Arabidopsis thaliana: one gene and its partners. The protein of the gene in region 2 interacts with the protein of the main gene of each other region in a pairwise test. Each region holds a gene or a part of one and is shown on either strand. Other genes may lie near its edges.

What was found.
Region 1: the proteins of GSTU19 (region 2) and AT3G59780 interact in a protein complementation assay, tested with the Arabidopsis thaliana proteins (one large-scale study listed by BioGRID).
Region 3: the proteins of GSTU19 (region 2) and AT1G33100 interact in a protein complementation assay, tested with the Arabidopsis thaliana proteins (one large-scale study listed by BioGRID).
Region 4: the proteins of GSTU19 (region 2) and AT2G40270 interact in a protein complementation assay, tested with the Arabidopsis thaliana proteins (one large-scale study listed by BioGRID).

Annotation. Positions count from the first base shown.
Region 1 is NC_003074.8:22,084,570-22,091,029, reverse strand, and holds AT3G59780 (Rhodanese/Cell cycle control phosphatase superfamily protein), read right to left. Parts: upstream 4,698-6,460; 5' UTR 4,472-4,697; intron 4,367-4,471; 5' UTR 4,125-4,366; coding exon 4,080-4,124; intron 3,917-4,079; coding exon 2,909-3,916; intron 2,813-2,908; coding exon 2,712-2,812; intron 2,613-2,711; coding exon 2,498-2,612; intron 2,347-2,497; coding exon 2,269-2,346; intron 2,102-2,268; coding exon 2,009-2,101; intron 1,898-2,008; coding exon 1,814-1,897; intron 1,721-1,813; coding exon 1,622-1,720; intron 1,510-1,621; coding exon 1,447-1,509; intron 1,371-1,446; coding exon 1,340-1,370; intron 1,230-1,339; coding exon 1,183-1,229; intron 1,100-1,182; coding exon 1,041-1,099; intron 944-1,040; coding exon 706-943; 3' UTR 501-705; downstream 1-500. Other genes in the region: SAC9 (sacI homology domain-containing protein / WW domain-containing protein), read left to right, coding at 5,356-5,374, 5,468-6,063, 6,185-6,317, 6,428-6,460.
Region 2 is NC_003070.9:29,485,843-29,489,918, forward strand, and holds GSTU19 (glutathione S-transferase TAU 19), read right to left. Parts: upstream 2,166-4,076; 5' UTR 1,978-2,165; coding exon 1,663-1,977; intron 1,162-1,662; coding exon 817-1,161; 3' UTR 545-816; downstream 1-544. UniProt on the Arabidopsis thaliana protein: Catalyzes the glutathionylation of 12-oxophytodienoate (OPDA). In vitro, possesses glutathione S-transferase activity toward 1-chloro-2,4-dinitrobenzene (CDNB) and benzyl isothiocyanate (BITC), and glutathione peroxidase activity toward cumene hydroperoxide.
Region 3 is NC_003070.9:11,995,642-12,001,952, reverse strand, and holds AT1G33100 (MATE efflux family protein), read right to left. Parts: upstream 4,454-6,311; 5' UTR 4,271-4,453; coding exon 4,007-4,270; intron 2,967-4,006; coding exon 2,425-2,966; intron 1,980-2,424; coding exon 1,893-1,979; intron 1,718-1,892; coding exon 1,661-1,717; intron 1,531-1,660; coding exon 1,292-1,530; intron 1,190-1,291; coding exon 1,071-1,189; intron 988-1,070; coding exon 901-987; intron 726-900; coding exon 645-725; 3' UTR 532-644; downstream 1-531. Other genes in the region: AT1G33090 (MATE efflux family protein), read right to left, coding at 5,411-5,491, 5,605-5,691, 5,791-5,909, 6,014-6,252.
Region 4 is NC_003071.7:16,821,395-16,826,733, forward strand, and holds AT2G40270 (Protein kinase family protein), read right to left. Parts: upstream 3,767-5,339; 5' UTR 2,934-3,766; coding exon 2,852-2,933; intron 2,744-2,851; coding exon 2,674-2,743; intron 2,322-2,673; coding exon 1,918-2,321; intron 1,817-1,917; coding exon 1,626-1,816; intron 1,548-1,625; coding exon 1,415-1,547; intron 1,332-1,414; coding exon 742-1,331; 3' UTR 540-741; downstream 1-539. Other genes in the region: AT2G40280 (S-adenosyl-L-methionine-dependent methyltransferases superfamily protein), read right to left, coding at 4,313-4,514, 4,702-4,896, 4,992-5,231, 5,323-5,339.

The DNA of each region.
Region 1 (6,460 bases), on a different chromosome or scaffold from region 2:
AAAGAGAAGAAACGTTTTCACTCGTCGTCAACTTCATTGATATGGCTTCAGCAGCTGAGTGAAGTGTACGAATACGGTCAATCAAGTTAGCTTTCCTCACATTCAAGGCCAAACAAAACTCGATAGGAAGAATGTAAACAGACACCACTAACAACTGGGAATGTGATGAACTAATTAAAAGGATACAAATCTAACAACAAACCGATACTTTGGAGTGTTGTATTTGTTCTTGTCTTGATTAATAAGACGGATTCTGGCACGATTATCAGTCTTGCCATCTATATTAAGAAAACACGAGAACTGTCACAACAAAATGTTAGCTTTTGATTAAACAAAAAATAAATGTTTCTATCTGTGTAGAATGATTACCTCTTCTTCTCCTGGATTTGACCTGACCCCTGAGTCAAGGATGACGATTGCTTTTTCACTAAACCCTAAGTATGCCACTTTAAGGCCTTCTGTTATTGGGCCTAAAGCCCAAAGTTATTAGGGGAGAAATTGCTGTAATAATTTTACGTGTAACCTATAACTTTTGACCCAATTTAGCTAGTTCTAAATTTGCAAAACAAATCTCAGCATCCGAACGAAAAGAAAACAGTTTTTTTTTATTACACTTTTTCTGTTGCCGATGTTAACGGTTCCAAGAGACGAACAAAAGTAATTCTTGGCAATTATAAGAAAAATAGAAAACAATTTTCAGAGTCTTTACGCTTCGGAGACATCAACGTTGTTCAAAGCTTCTTCTGGTGACGATGATGCATCTTGGAGACTTTCAGAAGTTTCATCAGAGGGTTTCGATTCATGCTTAGCAGCAGCTTGCAAAACCCGGCTTCGAACATCTGAAGAAGAAGGCGAAGTTGGGAGGCCAACACCATTTGTTTCTAGTTTTCCTGCAGCCCACGAGAAAGCCTGAGCTCCGAGTTTCACAGGTGCAAGCAACAGCCTTGAAGAAGAAGATGAAACAATCTTTGTTAAGACAGAACAGAGGTTTCGCTGAGTTTTTGCTATGGAAAAAGGGTCTAATGATGGCGCTTTTATACCTGACGTCTTGTTTGAAGTCTTCGGAGTCATCATATGAAGAAAGTCGTAGGTATATAGTCTGCATAATGTTTGAAACTTGAAAAACAAAACAAAGCAACTATAATTTGACAAAACTTAGAAACTGGAAAGGCTAGTATATACCAGACTAAGGCCGATGACAGCTATGAGTTGCAGTGTTTTCTCCCACTCTGCGAGAGATAGAGCAATCATGTTAGTGCAAAACGTGGATGTGAGGAGCTTGTGTGTTGTGGAGAATATGAGATATTCTAAAGGGGAAATGAGAAAGAATTAAACGCACCAGACAAAGCATACAATGCTGCGAAAAAACCCTGCATATATCTTCTTATATTAGTCAGGATGGGATTATTATTAAACGGAAATAGAAAAATAGAACTAGAAGCATACCACACCAACTCCAAATAGTTGCAATGGAGAGGGATTTATGTCCTCAAAAATCGCCTCAGCTTCCTGAAAAGCATTTAAGATATGTTTAACTTACTGATGAAAAGATTTGAGAGCAGTTTCAATTTCATCTAGCTGAAGAAACAGTCCAAACATATTTGTATTCATATGGTATTACCTCGTTGAGGATGGTAAGTGTTGTCTCAGGTTTTGGCTCTTTCACACGAAGACCTTCCTGTACCCATGATCTATACCCACCTTGCATCAAGTATGGCCTCTGTCACATCATAGGCAACCAAAGAAGAGCTTATTCGAAAATGTTTAAAGGTAACTTATTGTGTTCAAAGTGAATTATGCCTGAATGACTTGCCTTAATCCCAACTTTTCTCAGGGCTCTTGCAATACCCTTTGAACGAGTTCCATCAGCATCCATAACAACAACCTTGGACCTGTCCTATTAGTGGGAGAGTAAGCAAAATTATGAGATGTCAGCATACTTAGAAACTGAAACAGCTCGAGCCACAAAACCATAGTAAGTTACAAAAGAAGCATGAAGGTAGCACACCTGAACTATTTTCAAGTTCTTGATGATTACTGCTGTCAAGATATCATCTACTTCACTTCCACCTTTCAGTAGCCGTTTGACATCACCGTCAACCTTAAACATGAATCAAGAACAAGAACCCATAAAAAATGTGAATAAAGAAAAGTCTGATATCCTACTTCTGTTGCACTGATTGCTGAAACCTCGTTGTGTTCATAGATTACATGTGTAGAGTTTCTATATTCGCTGTGGTCAACAACAATGAGGATGCTAAAACCAACCTCAGGCAGTGTCACGCTAGAATATCGAAATCGAGCTGATCTCCGCAGATCAGGTATTCCATCTTTCTCTCTCAAGGCCTTCAAAAAGACAGTAGCCAAAATGAGCATTTTTATTTCAACCCAAACTCCTTGATGAACATTATGTGAAAGAAATAATCAAATTGTGGTGGGTTTTGAAAAGTTATATATCATGAAATGGGAACTTGTTAGAAACTTAAGAGCGTCTTACTTCAGGCCTGACATCTATGAGCACTGACTTGTCTCTTGATTTTAAAAGGTCCAGAGTTGACTTGGGAGACAAATCTCCAGCATATCCACCATATGTCCAAACCCGATATAGAACCCTGCAAATATCTGGTGGAAAATATAAATTCTTCTATACTACATTGTCCTCTCAAGAAAAGCAAGTTTAATATCCTTCTAGGGTAAGAAAAGCCGTGTACCAAAAGGTTCCTGTGGTGCCTACGAAGAGAAAAAGGTGAAGGATTGGGTCATCTGGATCCAAACCGATATTTCTCTCCAAACCTCCAATGGCAACAGATACCTGTTCATCATGATACTGTTAGCAACTGTAGTCCATAAAGAATTAATTTTCTTCTACGAAAATATGAATGAACCTTCAGTATATAAGACAAAGCACCTGCTGCAATACAGCTCCCACGGGACTCAATACTTTTAGAGCAACATCTTCTGACGAGTTAAGGGCACTCTTTACATCTGGAGGAAGTAATTCTTTTGCTGATCCATAAGAGTACACAACAAAAGAAACTCCATTTGTTACAGATCTCTCTCCAAGACTAACTGATTGCCTCAGCAGATCAATGGCAATAACAGCTGCTCTGTTTGAAGCTTCCTTCAAGCCAGTAGAAAAACTCGAAAACTTGTCTCCAGCTACATCTCCCGTTTGGTCTAGCGTAGAAAACGCTCTGTTAACTGCACTATCTACAACTTCAGAAGCATTCTTTGTAATGGATGTCACAGACGAGGAGAAGGACTCCAAAGTGTTCTTTACAGCATTTTCTCCTTGGTTAAGTGAAGAGCTGAAGGACTCCTTGACCCCAGAAGAAAAGTCATCAACGCTAGCTTTCGCATCAGGAAGTGAAGAGCTGAAGGACTGCTTGAGCCCAGAAGAAAAGTCATCAAAGCTAGCTTTCGCATCAGGAAGTGAGACTGAACTATCCGGAGATATTTTAACAGTCGCATTGGTTCCCGATTCAACAGAGTCTATAAGGCTACTGGTCTTATCGGTTAAAGTCTCAGCAGAAAGGCATTCAATGGGGGAAACATCTGGTACAACAGCTTCAACAGGAGAAACATCTGCTGCAACAGCTTCAACAGGGAACACATCTTCTCCATTTTCTACATATGTCAGTCCCTCATCACTCGCTACAAAAGCTTCACTCATGTTATAAACCATGTAGTTTATTCTGTCCAACTCATTCTGGCACAAACTTCCGAATGTTGATACTGGTTGTTCTGTTTTTTCGATAGTACCGGTCAAGAAACTCCCAGTGGCTTGAGGTACGAAACTCTTCTGCAGGCGTGTTCCATTAGAGATACCAAAGAAGGCATTGTCACCTGAACTGTATCTGTGAATCAACTCTCTCCTGAAGGAAGAACAGCCTCGCCAATTGCCAGGAAATAAAATCTGCAGAAACAAACCCGTTATGAGGTACTTACTTATCTATGAAAATGAATCCAAAAACCCAAAGCACTAACAAAGCGTAACACCCATAGCTCAAATTGGATGACTTCAATAAATTTGCTACCAGTTAGCTTATTTACTTTCACTTCTATAAAGAAAATCTAACCTGAGAATGGTAACGGCAGCTTGTGGCCGAGCACAGGGGAAACATGTTGGTCAGTCTTGGATTCTTACAGCAATCTCATAGCTTTCACAACATACCAGAAAAGGAACAAAAAAATACAATTTCAAAGAGAAAATGACGATCCAGTAAATCTGAACCGGAATAAAGAACGTCCTAATGAGAACAAAACAAAAATCACAGACCAAGAAGAAACAGTGTCTCAACAAGAAGAAGATTCAGACAAAAAAGACTCCAGCAGCAGATTTACAATAATGGGTGTCGTCTGAAACCTGCAACAAGAATACCCATTATTCAATTACTGAGTCTGAGCATGTTTGGAACCTTGAACAACAGAAGCAGTTCAAAGAGAGATCAAATGCAGTAACTTTAATAACCTATCAGGGTCAAGGTCGATGATGATGAAGTTTCATGAGAAGAGTGGACTGAGCTTGATGAAATATGTTAATGGCGACTCGATTGAAAAAAGATAGAGGCGCGTGGATTCGATAGAGATTGTGTCTCAATTTGGATTGGGTGGAGCAAGATAAGCAAAGCGAATCGTGTGGCTTGTCCAAAGCCGTTAATTCATCATCTCTATACTTTATTTTGTCTTTTCTTTTGATTGGGTCTATTCGTTACATTTTAAAACTAATTGGACCAATTTTCAAGTTATCAATAATTTCTTCTCTTTTTTCATAAATCAATTAAACAGATTCACACGTGTCGTACTATGATTGTTTTTGTACTGTGTGTTGGGTAACAGCAGATTTACTCTTCTTCCTCTTCGTTTGTTCGTCTACGAACGACTTGGTAAATTTTGCATCTGATCATCTCTACAACTTCAAGGTGAGTTCCTTCTCTTATGACTTATGATTCGATTCGGGTTCTCTGAAGAATTTATCTTTCTGCTTTCTCGGAATTTGAATTATCGATTTGCGTCTTTAATTTTGCTATTCTCGGAAAAAGTCTCAGATCTCTGGTACTCGTTTTTTTTATTACTTCTATCGAAATTTGTGAGAAAATTCTGATCTTTTGTCTCAGTTATATCGGAGATTATTGTTAGGAAGATGATCTCTCTGTTTTGATTTTAATTGGCGTTGATGAATCGTTTTAAGTATAGAACTAACTATGCTACATTTTTTGGATTCCATTGCTTTTTATTTCTCTGATGGAAGTTCCTTATTTCGTTGACTTTTTGCTAGATTTTTGGTTCCACATTGATATCTTGGTCCCTGAAGCTGTCAAAGAGGGCACCTGGTCCGCTTGGTCCTGAGCTCAGATGGATCTGCATCCACCAGGTTAGTTTCTTTTTGAAGATTCAAGTGTTTTTTTTTTTCACTCTAGCTGTTTTCATCATTTGGTTGGCTAATTTTCTTATCTTCTTGGTGTAGGTGGTTCAAAAAAGACATCTGTAGTTGTTGTCACCTTAGACACTGGTGAAGTCTATGTCATTGCAAGTTTGTTATCTAAGGCTGATACTCAAGTTATCTATATCGATCCTACGACTGGTATCCTGCGGTACAATGGGAAGCCTGGCCTTGATAATTTTAAGTCAGAGCGTGAAGCCTTAGATTATATTACGAATGGATCAAGAGGAGGTGTTAGAAGCTCTGTTTATGCCAGGGCAATACTCGGTTATGCTGTCTTGGGGAGCTTTGGGATGCTTTTAGTTGCGACCAGGCTAAATCCAAGTATTCCAGATTTGCCTGGTGGTGGATGTGTATATACAGTGGCTGAGAGTCAATGGGTCAAAATACCACTCTACAATCCACAGCCTCAAGGGAAAGGTGAAACCAAGAATATTCAGGAGTTGACTGAGCTTGACATCGACGGGAAGCACTATTTCTGTGATACTAGAGACATCACTCGGCCCTTCCCAAGCCGTATGCCACTTCAAAGCCCTGATGATGAATTTGTTTGGAATAGATGGTTGTCCGTGCCTTTTAAGAATATTGGGCTACCTGAACACTGTGTCATTCTTCTGCAGGTTCGTCCTCCATTAATGAATTGATGAAGGTTGATCTACCTATCCGATTTCGGTTTTGTGTGAAGATTCAAAAGCATATAAATTGATATGACATCATCTTCTTATTTGATGTTAATTATAGGGGTTTGCAGAATATCGACCTTTTGGGAGCTCAGGCCAGCTAGAAGGGATTGTTGCTCTAATGGCCCGTCGTAGCAGACTGCATCCAGGGACTCGTTACCTAGCTAGGGGCATTAATTCATGTTCTGGCACAGGTGACATGCCCCCCTAAAATGCTCCTCTCTCTTAATTTCTTTGTTGTTCTCTTAAAAAGTGTGGCTCTGGATTGACTAGGGCCTAATTTAGAAGTATATGTGTAGTGCAGGTAACGAAGTTGAGTGTGAGCAGCTTGTATGGA
Region 2 (4,076 bases):
AGGAGTGATAACAGCTATACTAATTTATTGAGAGAGTATTGCACTCTATTAAATATATCACATACACCATTATTTTTTCAATATCAGCATAAGATTTATAAATACATAATGCTTTATCTATGTTTATACTCTAAATTCTTTATATATATAAAGCCTTTGAAATAATATTTTAAAATTTACTAATCGATCCCAAAAATTACAGGATAGTTCTGTGTTAATATCGTTGTTGTAATCGTAAATCAAATTCAAATCCCATGAACTGTGCGGATCATAGTAATGTTATTTGATCTACCGAATTCAAATTCGGCAAGAAACACTAAACCCGTGGCTAATCTGATCATACCGACACTAATGATCACATCAACCACATAACTTCCAATTGACTACAATATGGAGTTATGGATGCCAATTTCAATTTGGGCTTATGGATGCCAATTTGGGCTTATTAGATCCAGACCGGCTTACCATTCTCGATGTTGGAGGTTTTAATCGCCAAACTGCACTATTGTCTTTTACAGCAACATTGGCGTGATAAGCTTGGTCAGGTAGAAGAGTCGTATTGGCGTAATTACATATCAAAGTAACAAATTAATAATCATTATAGATTAACGATCATTAATTAAACTCATAGTTACAATGCATAAAAACTAGGACAAGCCATTAAATCCAGAAAACACAGGAATCTGCTACAGCAAAGACATACATTCTCTACACTCAAACCACCTCACAGATGCTCTGCATTATTTAAGAAAGACAACACACGAAAGTAAAACAGAGAGCATCTTAAGTCCGAACCATATGACAAGAGAAACATATTTACTCAGGTACAAATTTCTTCCTGAGCTCAGAGACGAATTCAGTAACCTTCTCAGGATCAGGCAAGGACTTAGCCACGCTCTCCCTCTGCAAACACTTCTTAACCCAAGCAATCAGTTTCGGAACCTCAGATTCGATACTGAAGTTAGCAAACTTCTCGTATGCTGGAAACCATGTGTAGAATCCAATCAACGCAATGTCTACATAGCCAAAGTCATCGCCACTAAAGTAAGGTTTGTCTCCAAGCTCAGATTCAAGAGTCTTGAGTATCTCAATGAAATCCTTCTTCCCTGCCTCTTGTTCCTCACCCTTTGTCGCCCACACCTTCCTCTGAGCATCATACAGCTGAAACATTGCACAGAGTAACATAACACCAAGCTATGTCAGAACTCAGTCGAACCCAAACAAAGCTCAAAGATGATGTCTACAAAGCAAAACCAGTCCTAGAGACCCCCAAATTGCAAAAGAAACATATCATCAAACTATCTAAGATGAACCCAAACAAAGCTCAAAGATGATATCTACTAGCGAAACTAGTATGTAAAAACCTCAAATTGCACAAGTAACATAACATTAAACTATCTAAGAAGACAAACCCTGACTAGCTCAGAGATGAGTCCACAAGAAAAATCTGAAATTTGGAGGTGAGATCTCTAACCCTAACAACTACAAACTCAAGTAATATTATAACATCAGACAAACCCATACAAGCTCAAAGACGAGTCTACAAGCAAAACCCTAAATTTGAGCCAATCACTAGCAAACTCAACTAAAGTTTCAATTTTTATGAAATCCCAAGTTCAATTTCAACATTATTCAATCAAGGGCACAAAGGAAATAAGATACCTTCTTGTCAATGAAATCAGCCCAGAACCTAGCTTGAGCTCTCAGGTAAGGATCAGAAGGAAGGATAGGGTTCTTGTGAGACCAGACCTCGTCAATGTACTGAACCTGGATGATAGATTCGTTAACCGGTTTACCATTGTGGATGAGAACAGGAATCTTCTTGTGAATCGGATTCATCTGGAGAAGCAAAGGACTCTTGTTCCTTAGATCTTCTTCTCTGTACTCAAATTCAACACCTTTCTCCCTCAATGCGATCCTTGTCCTCATCCCGAACATACTCGGCCAGAAATCAAGAAGAATCACCTCGTTCGCCATTGTTACGATCGCTAAAGCTCACAAAGAGATTTTTTTTTGTAAGTGTTCGTCTTTCTCGATTTGTTTGGTTGGGACACTACCTGTAAGGGTTTAGGTAATTTATAGATGAGAATATTTATGATACAATAATGGATTGTGCTGACTCTAGTCGTTACGTCACACCACTCTTTAAAAACATGTGGCCAGATTTTAAAGCTTTTTAAAGTAATAATTTATAATTACAGTATTTTCTTTTTACGTAACATATCTTCATTCGCCTTTTTTTTATCTGTTGACCATTATAGTGTTTTATATAGTAACTTGCAAATATTCGTGTGGACTCTATGATTGAAAAAAGAAAAAAAATCGTCTGAAATCTATTATCATAGTAGCAAATTTGGATTTTGGATGTTAAAGGAAATTATGGATTTCAGTTGACCAGAAACCATAATGGATTTCTAAATCAAGATTTTAGATTTCTTAGCACTGCGTTTAATTATTTTAAAAGTTGATGGAAAAGATTATTTTGTTGTAAGAAAATAACTGGATGGATTAACACAGTTTTAAATTATGTGAACAATTAATTTGACTAATGAGTATTGACGTTTTATTTCGGCACAATGTATCATTACCTGATGAAAATATCATTTATTTATAGAAGAAATGATTCATATTGAAACTTAGTTGAAAAACGTGCAAAAAAATACAGAGGACTTAGAAAAGCGAGCCAAATTTCTAGAAAGCTGTGTAGGTTGAAGAGGTGGAAGATACGTTCACGTTACCAGAATTAACTGGAAATTTTCGAGATATTTCGATGGAACTGTAGAGATTGTGTTACGTCAATAATTGTATTTATACAATTGACGTGACCACATGATCTCGAGAAGCTTGGCGACATTGATCACGAAAGCGAGAGAAGATCCTGGTTCAGTATTGGTTCTATCTTATTTTTGTTTTGGTCATGGACTTATGGTGAATTGGGCCTATATTTTACAAAAAACAATGGATCTGAACCGGGCTTCGAAAAACAGTTTTTCTTATTTGAAAACCCATTAATAAAAACAAAATCATAAGAGCGAGCAAGAAAAAAATCATACCTGACCTTTCAGAACTCCTGTGGCCAAACAAAATGATCTTCTTATTTTTAAATTCTCTTATTTTTAATTCCAAAAGATATAAACTCGCGCCAAAAATTTATGTAACTGATGCTTTAGTATCTTTAACATAGCTAGATCTATTATAAACCTATAATAGACTAGTTAACAAATTTAGCCAAATTGGATATGTCACCAGAGAAAGCAAAATCAGCTACATTGGGTATTTATATTTCGTCGAGTAATATACGGGATTTTTTTCAGGCAGATAATGTGATCTATTCATTATAGACATATATGATTGTTTCATAAGAAGAAACTAGCTCAACATACTCATATCTGCGTTGGGTTCGATATCTCACGACACGTAGCAACATACTCATGTCATAACATGATACATCTTACAATATACACAAAATAGTTGACTAAAAAAAAGCACACACACATTAGGATAAGAAGATACTTAAATTGTTATTTTTCATTGATGATTTCGAATGTGTATCTGTATCTGGAAGTCTCTATAGTGTGTAGACTTTGATCTAGAAACATCGAATGGACCCTACGCACTGTATTACGTGGCATTTTAGTTTCAACCTACAAACTCGTTACTTGATTTTGTATATTCTAATGTTTTTGAGGCGTCAAATTCCGAGACATCAACGTATTTTTCGGCGAATATACTATTTAAAAGTCATGTACAAAAATACGTATGATCTTGATGAGATTTTCCCTAGTATGATTACATATTTGATAAAAACTATTTATTTAGAAAAAAGACACAGCAGTATGCACGTTATAAATCAAAAAATGGTCTTTTTCCATGTCAAAAAAAAAAGATAGTTCCCGGAAAAAAAGAGTGGCCATGAAGTGTATTACATGTTCAAAGATTAGAATCAATCGATTGGCTACTGTGAAATGCGAGTGCTTATGTATACGCTTACGTGTATGCACTTTAGAACCAATAAGAGTAGGATAAAAGATCACAAGTCAAAACTGTGAGATGTTTCCCGTTTGCTTAAAGTAGAA
Region 3 (6,311 bases), about 17 Mb from region 2:
CAAAGCTACGACAAGAGGAGGCAAAGAAGTCTACGTAAGCAGTCGCGTCACTGTAGTATTAGATCGGTATTTCCTTACAAAAGCTGTCCTTTTTTCACAATCGATCAATCATCATCATGAGGTCACGAACATGAAAACATTTTTAAAGTCACCAAACAAATCCAAAAAACTGTAGTAACAAATGGAGTAAATTATATATATATGCATGGCCAAATTTACGTTTCTTGGTACTAACAATATTTTGGCTATGTTTACGGGCAAAGGAGACGATTCTAGTTCTACACACATAATGACATAATACAATAGAACACCGAGAGAAAAAGAGTATATATAACTCAAATTCAACACTAAGCTGATTATATTCAGATAAAAATCTCTAAGCTAAATCATGTCTTTGAGGTACTACGAAAATTGGAAGCTAAGAGGGCTGTTGCTACGGTGGTTCAGTTCAAGATTTAATGGACCGTAACGTGAAGGTCTGTTTTTTCTTTGTATGCTCTTGTTTTTGTGTAATTCACAAGCTCCTTAAAAACTTCTGTAAACAACCTTTATTTTTTATCAATTTTTTTTTTCACATTTCATAAAAAAGGAACATCATCATAATCTTTAAATCTATCATATCTTCATATCATAATCCAAATTAATTATTCCTCTGATGAAATTTGATTTGCATCTCTAGATTCTGGTACAACCCACCGGTTTATATTTCTCAACGACGTAGATACCTACAAAAAAGTGGCAACAAACAGTATAAGCTGCAATCCAAGAACATAGCTTGCTTGAACAAACTAATTATTATTTTTGCTAAGGAACAAACTTATTATTTTGGAAGGAGAAACTACAATTTTTTTTCTTAAACAAATTAATTCAGGGAATATTATATAGTAATCAACTTCTGACCTGTTGATCCCAATCTGTTCTGAGAGTCATGACGGTGAGCACACAAGTCTGAACGAATATTCCAAAAAGCATTCCTATCCATACACCCTTCAAAATTAAAGAAGTAAAGTTTTATGTTAGTTTTATTACTTTTCAACATAAAAGAAAAATATATAAACTGAAAAACTTACTTTCACTTGCAAACCAACAACATAACCAAGGATAACACCAATAGGAATTCCGACAAGGTAATAGCAAGCAAGGTTAACGTAAGCCACATATCCTTGCCATCCCGCTCCGATTGCCACTCCTGTTAAGGTTTTAAACCAATTATAGATAAATACTACTCCAAATATTGGTTCGAATCCGATACTATAATAACCATTACGCGTCAACTAGCTAAAATATATACCAGAGAGAACAGGTTGAACACTGTTCAAGAGGATGGAAAATGCTAAAAGTGGAGAAAGATCAGCAACTTCGGCCGCGACAGCTTCACTTGTAGTGAAAATGTAGGAAATTCTTCCCCTCAAAAACAAAAAAACGAAGAATAGAACTATTCCTATAGAGAGTGACGTGAAAACCGCTATCAATGTTGCAAACTTGGCTCCTTTGGGGTTTCCACTACCGAGCTCGTTGGACACTCTTACACTATTTATATAGATAATTACAAATAAGATGATATATAAATAAAAGATCATACCAAGAAAAAAAGATAATATAGAAATAGTATCAATAAAGTGAAGTGTGTTGTATATAATCTATATATGTATCAATGCACCTTACTGCTGCCAAAAACCCAAGTGCTATCATCATCTCCAGTGCATTTATGCTGATGCTGCGAAGATAAATGGAAAAGATTAGTCGATTTATAATATATTATTTGTATGTACCATTACTCATACAATACTATAACTTATGAGTCAAGTTAGTACTAAAGAAAATGTATTTATGTTTCAATGTTTTGTATGGAGATCAGAATAGATATAGAAGGTCAATTCTTGTTTATTTACCAGATTGCTAGTGCATCAAGAGCCACCTCTGCGTTTTTCAAATTTCCAGTGAGCAATACCAATACCGAGTTGTACCATAACTCCAAGCTGTAAAAAATAACGACCACAAAGTAATCATCATCAATTTTTAAAAAGATAAGTAAATTAGAAAGAAAAAAAAAAACAAAAGAAAAAAGTAACTAGAACTATCATTAAATTATCAGTGAATATAATATACTCCTAAAAGTAATTCACCAAAAAAAAAATATACTCCTAAAAGTGTGTATAATATACTCCTAACATTCTCAGGAGTATATGCGTAAATGTAACAGTCGGATCAAATCCTACAAGATTGATAATTATATTATATAGTTTACAGCCTGAAAACTAATACATGGACTAAGTATATGCATCAAGTGGAACCAATCTCTTGTTTTGACCAACAATGACAATGAAAACTAAAGCTATCAGTATGAAAACATTTGGTTGATCCACTACTAGCTAATTCCTTAATTAAGTGTTCAAAACACAAAACAAAAATAGGAAACCTTACCAAAGCATTCCACCGGAAGACAAAGATAGTTTTAAGACGGGCCACAAATCTTTGAAGGCCAACATAGAGAATCCTCTCCATGTATCCTTACATCCACCACATGTTACATACAAGAGCTGCACAATGATAGGCAACCAGAACGCAATTAGCATAGAGGTCATCGCACCAGTGATCCCAAAATTGAAATGAGCCACTAGGAGCCACGAGAAGAAGACATGGAGCCCTAAGGAGACAGCAGTCACGTAGGAAATAATCTTGTTCTTGCTCTGAGCTTGGAGAAACATTTGGCAAGTGAAGGAGGGCACGAAGGAGAAGTTGATGCCTATGACCCATAGGGCTAAGACCCGAGCCACACGAACAATGCGTTCCTCTTGACCTAAAGCTAAGAGGATAGGGCCCGCAAAGATGAAGACGGGCATGAGGCAAATGGTACCACCTGTGAGGACGATCCATGACCTTTGGAGGTAGATCCCGAGCATCTGGTATTGTTTGGCTCCGTAGGCTTGACCACATAATGTTCCTAGTGCACCGGCCATACCTAACTGCAGTAGAACAATAGTTATAACCAAATTTGAGACAGCTGTAGTTTTGCATTGTGTAGTTTCAAAATAAATGTTAACCGGAATTACATATCCAAAAAATACTCCAAAACCATATAAACTTATACAAATTTTAATTGAGTTTGATAATAGTTTCTTCACACGACCACCTAATCTGTATTAAAAATTCAAATAAGTGAGACCAAATTTTATAATATAGTTTTGGTCTAACTTATTTTGAAAACGTTTCGGAAACGCAAAAATTATTACGGAAACGCGTTTCCTAAAAATCCATGTTTGGAAACACGATGAAAACTCGCGTTTTTGAAATAGACATACGACAAATATTTTTTATTGACTTTGAAAATTTAATAACTAAAATTGGAAATATTAAGATTATTAATACATATAACTAATTTTGGAAAACTCTTAGTTTTAAGATTTTTTTCTTGATAAACCAGATTTGAAGAGAGTTTTATATTATCTTTGATGAAACTAATGAAAATAAGAATAAAAATGTTGGTCTAAATTAGATATTAAAATTTGAATCTTTTAAATTTTAATCTTTATCTTTTAGAATTTTAGTTAGCTTATTTAATATTGATAGTTTAGACTTATATTGTTTAAATCATTTTTTATTTAATATAGTTTTATGTATATATATATATATATTTATATGTTTTTAAAACGTTTCTAATCTCTAATTTTAATAAAAAATTGATTCCCGTTTCTGAAACGTTTCGCATCCGCGTTTCTGTTTCCGTTTCCATGCAACTTAGTTATAGCATAAATTCACCTACATGTTTTTTTTTTTTAATTTTCACCTACATGGTCTGACCTTGTAATATAGTTATTTCTTAATCACTAATAATCAAGAGATTAGATTAAATAAAAATTGAAGTAGTACTCACCACCACGATACCATTACTGAAGCGGAGAAGAATCCATAGTAATCAAGGGATTCATTAGATTAAATAAAATTGGAAAAATTGATATAAATGAAGCTACGTATACCATTACCAAGATCGCTATAGTAAACTCACCAAGATACCATTACTGAAACGGAGGAGAATGGTGAAGGTGATAGAGTAAGCGGCCAACTCGGTTGGGCCAAGATGGCCAATGAAAGCTTGAGTTACCATTGAAACTCCGAACGTAGAGTATCTTGTGAAGATCGCTGGCGCCGCCACAACCCACAGTTTCTTTGATTCAATCCAAACCTTCTCCTTCATCCCCAACTCATCCTCTTCTTCTCTGCCGGTCTTTTTCACCAGAGCCTCCGTGAGCTCTCCTCCTCTTCCGGCCATCGTGGAGTCTATGTGTTTTTATCTGATAGGAGGAAATAAATAGAAGAAAGAGAGAGCAGAGAGTTTGAGTTTAAGAAGCAATTTTTTTTATATTTCAGCTGGGAAACAAAAGGTCGTCAACGCCTTTTGTAGCAGTGAGTGACTAAGTGATGAAAATACTCTAAGAAATAGATGCATTTTAAGATCACCTAAGATCGTGCATTCATCGATCATTTGTTTAAATGCAATTATCTATAATTCATATCTAAACTTTATCTTTATATATGCTTAAAAAGTGTGTGTTTGGAAAGTATATTGGAATAAAACAAAATATTTTTATCAAAAATATAATTATTCATATACATATTTCTTGGTCGTGAGTCTCGTGTCTATGTGTTGCATAATAAACCCATTTAAAAAAAATAAAAATATAAAAAAAAAATCAAGAAACGAGCATATCAAACTACAATAGTCAAATTCTTGTTCTAAGCAACGTAAGCAATTACAATTTTTAGTGAATTAAGATTGTCGTATATATTTATTATGAGGATTTCCAGAATCAAACGTTTATTTTTCTTTGTCAAAATGAATCAATCAATTTAACGTTTTAGCCACGAAGATCTTTTAAAAATAATTACCAATATAATTTCTTTAAACATGTTTGTACTTTTCCTATGATAAACGAAGAAATTTCATTTTTTTTAAATGGTAATCAGTTTATAAAACATGATTATTTTAATCTCTTTTAGTGTCATCATAGTAGTAAGCACACAAATTTCCCCAAAATTCCAAAGGTACTCTCTTCTTTTTATTGGTCATACCCTAATTCGCACTATTTCAATAACTAGTATATCTCAAAATTCTACCAAAGTTTAATTTTACTATGAGTTAACATGTTGGTGAAATTAAAGAACTAAAAGGGATTTTATCTTTTAAATAGCTCATTAATAAATTTTAGTTATCCTCTTCTTTGATTATAATAAATTATATAGATTGTACTCTCTTTTTTCATTGTACCACAACAACAACAACAACAACAAAAAGCCTAATAAATTACCATCAAAATTTATTTCATATTGAAAATCTGAGTTAGAAAGAACTATTGCCCAAAATAACATCATAATTATATAATATCTTTGTTCATATCATAATCCAAACGAATTATTCCTCTGATGAAATTTGATTTGCATCTCTAGATTCTGGTACAACCCACCGGTTTATATTTTTCAACGACGTAGATACCTACAGAAAAAAGTGGCAACAAACAATATAATTAAGCTCCAAACCAATAACATAGCTTGCTTGAACAAACTAATTATTTTGGAAGGGGAAACTACAATTTTGTTTATTTAAACCTGTTGATCCCAATCTGTTCTGAGAGTCATGATGGTAAGCACACAAGTCTGAACAAATATTCCAAAAAGCATTCCTATCCATACACCCTTCAAAAAAAGATAAGTAAAGTTTTATGTTGTTTTCAATTGTTAATTTTATTACTTTTGTTCATTATGAAGAAAAAATATATAAAGAGAAAAACTTACTTTGACTTGCAAACCAACAACGTAACCAAGGACAAGACCAACAGGAATTCCGAGAAGGTAATAGCAAGCAAGGTTAATGTAAGCCACATATCCTTGCCATCCCGCTCCCACTGCCACTCCTGATAAGGTTTGAAACCAATTAAAGGCATATACTACGTTTCAAATATCAGTTCGAATTCGATACGATGATAACCATCACGCTTGAACTAGCTAATGTATATACCTGAGAGAACGGGTTGAACACTGTTCAAGAGGATGGAAAATGCTAAAAGTGGAGAAAGATCAGCGACTTCGGCTGCCACAGCTTCACTTGTAGTGAAAATGTACGAAATTCTTCCCCTTAGAAACAAGAAGACGAAGAATAGAACTAATCCTATAGAGAGTGACGTGAAAACCGCTACGATTGTTGCAAATTTGGCGCCTTCGGGGTTTCCCCTACCGAGCTCGTTGGACACTCTTACACTATATATAGAGATAATTACATAGAAGAGTGATATATAAATAATATTAAGATCATACCA
Region 4 (5,339 bases), on a different chromosome or scaffold from region 2:
TACAACAAAATCCATCACCCAATTAGGCCAATTGGACTCTACTCTTCCCAAATTATCTATAGAAGATGTTAATTAGTGTTAAAATCATTATTGATTGATTGTTGAGGATTAAAAAGAGTAGAGGTCTTTTTACATTAAAAATAAAGTAAAGGGGTTTCCGTGCAACAAAAGTATTACAAACCCATCACTTATTAGGTTTCCGTTTTCTCTTGGAAGTAGAAGACGACTAGACTATTCAGCGAAATCACAGGAATATGTATGATGTGATGTCGGATGAAGCGAACTTGTGGTTTCACGAAGACGAACCTCCTCTCCGTAAGCGGTAGATGGAAGAAGCTCCACCTTCACCTGTCAAAGACCTTTATTTCTCCGACGAAGAAGACATGAGTCCCGAGGAACTATTTGCCAAGTTATTCAAGAATAAAATATCTCTTCAAACCATGAAAATATTTATGCACACTTATATTCTTAAAAGTATTTTGCAATTTCTCCTCTTATCATTTTGCTACAAAATAACTTTGAACAAAAGAATGCATTCATATAGAAGAAAACGGATATAATTTTCACAAGAACTTTTTTCCGATATGCACACTAATTTATCATATACATGTTTGTAAATTTACTAAACTTGAAGAGAACTTCAATTTTGCTTTACCAATATTACGAGAGATAAATAAAACAGACACTTACAAAACTCACATCTTCAAAATATATACAGTTTTATTAGTGAAGGGGTCTCTCTTACGCCGTGGACAAAACCTCCAACTCTGCCCACCAAAGAGGTGACAATTTCGGTGTAGCATCGTTCGGTGACAATCCCGTGATCTCCCGTAACCATCCTGTGACTTCTTGCATTGTAGGTCTCTCTTTCGGGTCAGTCCTAAGGCATGATTTGATCACTTCACCTATATTCTCAATCTTGGCATCATAAGATTCCAGTGTTGGATCTACCATTTTGGCTAGAGTCTCTCCTCTTAAGAAATCAACCAGCGAGCTATCTACTGAGTCAGGTTTGTTAACGGATTCTATGAGTTTCCCGGTTATCATTTCGAATAACAGTAAACCAAAGCTGTAAATGTTGTCTTCTGGATTCAAGGCTGAGATGTGTGTGTCTATGACTGTGTTGTTGTTGATGTTAGTCTCTGTCTCAGATGAACCGAAACTGAAATCTGATACTTTGACAGCATAATCCTCTGTGAGCTGAAGAGATGATGAGACGAGATTGGTGTGAGCTATAGGTGGATTGAGTTGGTGCATATGGTCAAGGCAATATGCTAATCCCATTGCAATTCTTAACCGCATTCCCCAATCCAAGTGTTCTGATTCTTTATCTGTAACAAAAAAATGATTAGCTTCTCTTTAGATCACAAAGAAATGAAGCCAACATGGCTGATTGTGTGACAAAAGTACTCACAATGTAAATGCTCAAAGAGTGATCCATTTGGAGCATACTCAAAGATCAAGATCCTGGTGAAAGGTTCCTTTTCTTCACAATAACCAAGAAGGTTTGCAAAATTCTTGTGGTTGATCTTCGATAACATTTCGATCTGAAATCGTGAAAACAGAACGCGCTAAGTCGACTATATGTTGTTGTTATAAGAAAACAAAAATGGGGAAAACAATACCTTCTTCCTGAAGTGAATTTCTGTACTGTCCTTCCAGTCTTTGGCAGTAGTAGTAGCAAAAGAAGCAACAGCAATCTCCACTCCACTTGATAATGTTCCTTTGAACAACTTCCCAATGGGACAAGATCCAATGACATTACTAAAATCTTCACATGCAGCTTCAATCTCAGATCTTTTGAGTACAGGAATACCTGAGTATCAAAAACCACACATTGATGAAACCAAATGAGACAAATTTGGTTACTACTCCAAGTAAGTGCACTTGCCAAAACAATTCAAGAAAGGAAATTACCAGTAACGAATACTTTCTGAAGTTGTCCACTAAGACCAGTACGCCAAGGATTCACAGTTTTCCCGGCCTTACTTGTGAAAAAGTAGAGACCGGTAGCTACAAGGAGAAGAAAAAAAGCACCGCCTACGCAGCCAACAACTAAAGGAACAGAAGAATGAGAGTTTCTTGGAATGGGAGAGTTTGCAAGTGGCGCAGATGGAGAAGGTGAAACATCTTGTGTAGATGATCTCTTTTGTGGCTCTGAAACTGTTGAAGCTTTAGTTGAAACATGTTTTGGAGCAGGTTCTGGGGATGATGATGGTGTTGTAGTTGCAGCCACAACACGGTTTTTGCGGTCTTTTCTTGAAGGCAAGTCTTTGTAAGGGTTACGGACAAGTGTTTTCCTGTGAAATCCAAAAGCTTTCCTAAGAAAAGGTAGAAGAAGAAATTAAGCCATTGCACAACATGCTCTAAATATAGCAAGTTTAGAAGTGTCGGTTACAAGTAACAACAGTTTCTTCTACCATACATACATAGAGAGAATGAAGCTATGAAATGATTAGAGAAATTTGTAGATCTTGACTACATATATGTTGTTGTTATACCAAAAAATCTTTCAAAGTCAAGATAGATTGAGAGTAGAGAATAAAAAGTAGTAAAATCGAAACTTTAAGAGTTGTTCTTAGGAAACTGAGAAATTGAATCAGCACAAGTGACAAGAGTGTTTCTAATCTAAAGACCCAATAGAAATCTCAGAAACCTGAAGCTGCTACTTACAAATACGTGGAATCTTCATCTGACGATAGATCTTTCTTTAAACTATCTTCACTTTTGAGAAAATCTACAGCTGAAAACGTAAAAGCGAAACAGAGGATGTGAATCAGGGAACTGGATTCTGTTTCTACACTACCAAAGAGACAAAAACGAGTAAGTGAAACGGAAAAAAAGTCTCTACCTTGGTCCTTGAGAGAACAACACGAACCGAACCAGCTCAGAAGGAGCACAAAAGCCACAAAAGAACGCATTTTGAACAACATCGATCGAGTGAATCGAGAAGAACAATAACAACAACAACAACAACAGTAAGTGTTGTGAGCAGAAGATGATGAAATCGAGTTTACTATGGATTAGAATTAGAGATAAGAGATCAGAGAAGCAATCAGAAAAAGCGGAAGAAGCTGAAGACGAAAAGAGACTTATTAGCAGACGAGTTTTTGATTGAAGAAAGCGCGTCCGCCGTGTTTTGCCCGATTGAGGAAACTTGACTTTTAGGAGATTTTATTTTATTTTATTGGTCAAGAAGAACTAAATAAGTGTGCGTATTTTTCTCAACCAATCAACGTTTTTCTTTTTGTATTTTTATGAAAATTAAACTTTTCTGCAGAAACTTTTTATTTGTTTTTTCTCCAAGGATTATTGTCAAATACCAATATTGTACGATGTTCGAATCATACTTGACTTATTCCGAACCACGAATACTGTATCATTTTCTTTTCTTTACAAGTTATCCATTTAGATTGATCTTATTGCATCGTAATTTAAAGTGGTGAGGATTTTCTGTAACTAAAAAATATTATATATATATATAAACGTTAGGTGAAAAAAAAAAATGTGTAATACGGCTTAATATTAACTAATATACTATTATACCTGGTAAAATGTAGTTACAGAACTAAAAGGGGTTCAAAAGAAAAGGCTCAATTAGACAGCCAGCCAGCCATCCACCGTTGAAAAAGACTTGTGGCGTAGGGAATGGACGAATGGTTCCACCTTCTTGATTTTCTTGGTTATTTCTTACAATTTGTGTCGGTTATAAATAAAATTCAACGAGAGCCACGATAGATTTGGTGTGATGATATTTGAATGATTGAGGTTGAAGGAATGATTGTCATCTTAAGTAATGTGAGACTATTTCAAAGTGGAAGGTTGCTTAGCTGTTGCTTTCTTCGTCCCCAATTCTCTTCCCATGTGGGATCCTCGTGGTCTGGTCACTTGTCATCAACCAAACCCCTCTATGTTTTAGTTATCTTAATTCTAATTCACATTCTACTATTTTTATTTTGTCAACATTTCCATATTCTTTTGTTATAGGAACCAATGTGACAAAAACAAAATATCCTTGAGAATCTTTTTTTTTTTTTTTGGACAAAACCTTGAGAATCTAAGATATAAGAAACAATTTGTTTTGCTCAAAACAATATATGTTGTTGGCAAAAGAATTATTCTCGTTAACTTTAATATCTTATGTAGTCTTTAGTGACTCGGTTTCGTTCAATTCTTCTTATGGAACAAAATCAGAAAGTCAAAACAAAACCCCCTTAATGGGTTATATAGTACGCTGTGATATAATCTGGTTGCGTCATTGATAGTAGTGTACAAATTTACTTTGCTAGTATGTTTATGTCTCTCGTTCTGTCTATCTGAGCTCCGGTTTAGCGGGACGCCAAAATCCCTTCCGACCAACCAAAAACCGGTCCTCGTATATTTTGGTTGACCAATGAAGCGAACCAAGTATGGATTCAAGCTTCATTATTGTTTCCATGTTGTCTTGTACCACAAGATATCCACCTGGTCTCACTATCCGATCTATCTCAGCTACCACTTGTACAATCTCACACCTGAAATTGACCCAAAAAACACATATTAAAGGTTAACCACACTATTCGCAATATCAAACCGAGTTTGGTATGACAACTCCGACTTTGGTTAAGCTAACCGTGAACCGAACCAAAACAGTGAATGCCTACTGGCTACTGCTAAAGAACTGAAACTCTATAGATATACAAACTCAGATCTGTTGTTTACCTTTGTGTGAGATCACCTAGGAGGAAACTGGAATGTAACAGATCGTATGTTCTAGGGTAAGTGTTGACGGACTCACACCAATCATGGTAAACTCCGATCAAGCCTCGATCATAAACGACGGAGAGAGTGTCAGGTTTATCCACAGGGACAACATTCATCACCCAGAGTGGTAGATTTATAAGTGCAGCAGCAAAACTATACCAAAAAGAAGAAAAGAAGAAAAACTTGTGTCAAGTTTCAGTTTGGGATAAACCGGATTCTGGTTAAAGTTTCAGAGATTGTAAATGTACCCGCCAAAACCAGCATTCATGTCCATCACATTCCGCACAGTCGACCAGTTTACAGCTAGATGTTTGAGGTAAACATCAGAAACACTTGCTGACCATTTCTCTGTATCTTTCTTCAATGTTTCCGCTTTAACTGAAATGCTTTGCGGTTTAACACTCACAAGCCGTTTAGGCCATAGTTCAGGCCAACTCTGGACATTTCCACTAGGTAACTTGGAAAGGCATTTAGCGAGAGGAACATACCTAAAATTAATCAGAAGGAAATGTTACAAAAAATAGTGGACATTACTTATATGTGAATGTAAAGCATCATTTTGTGTAATAGTTTTTTTACCATGAACCATTTGCTTC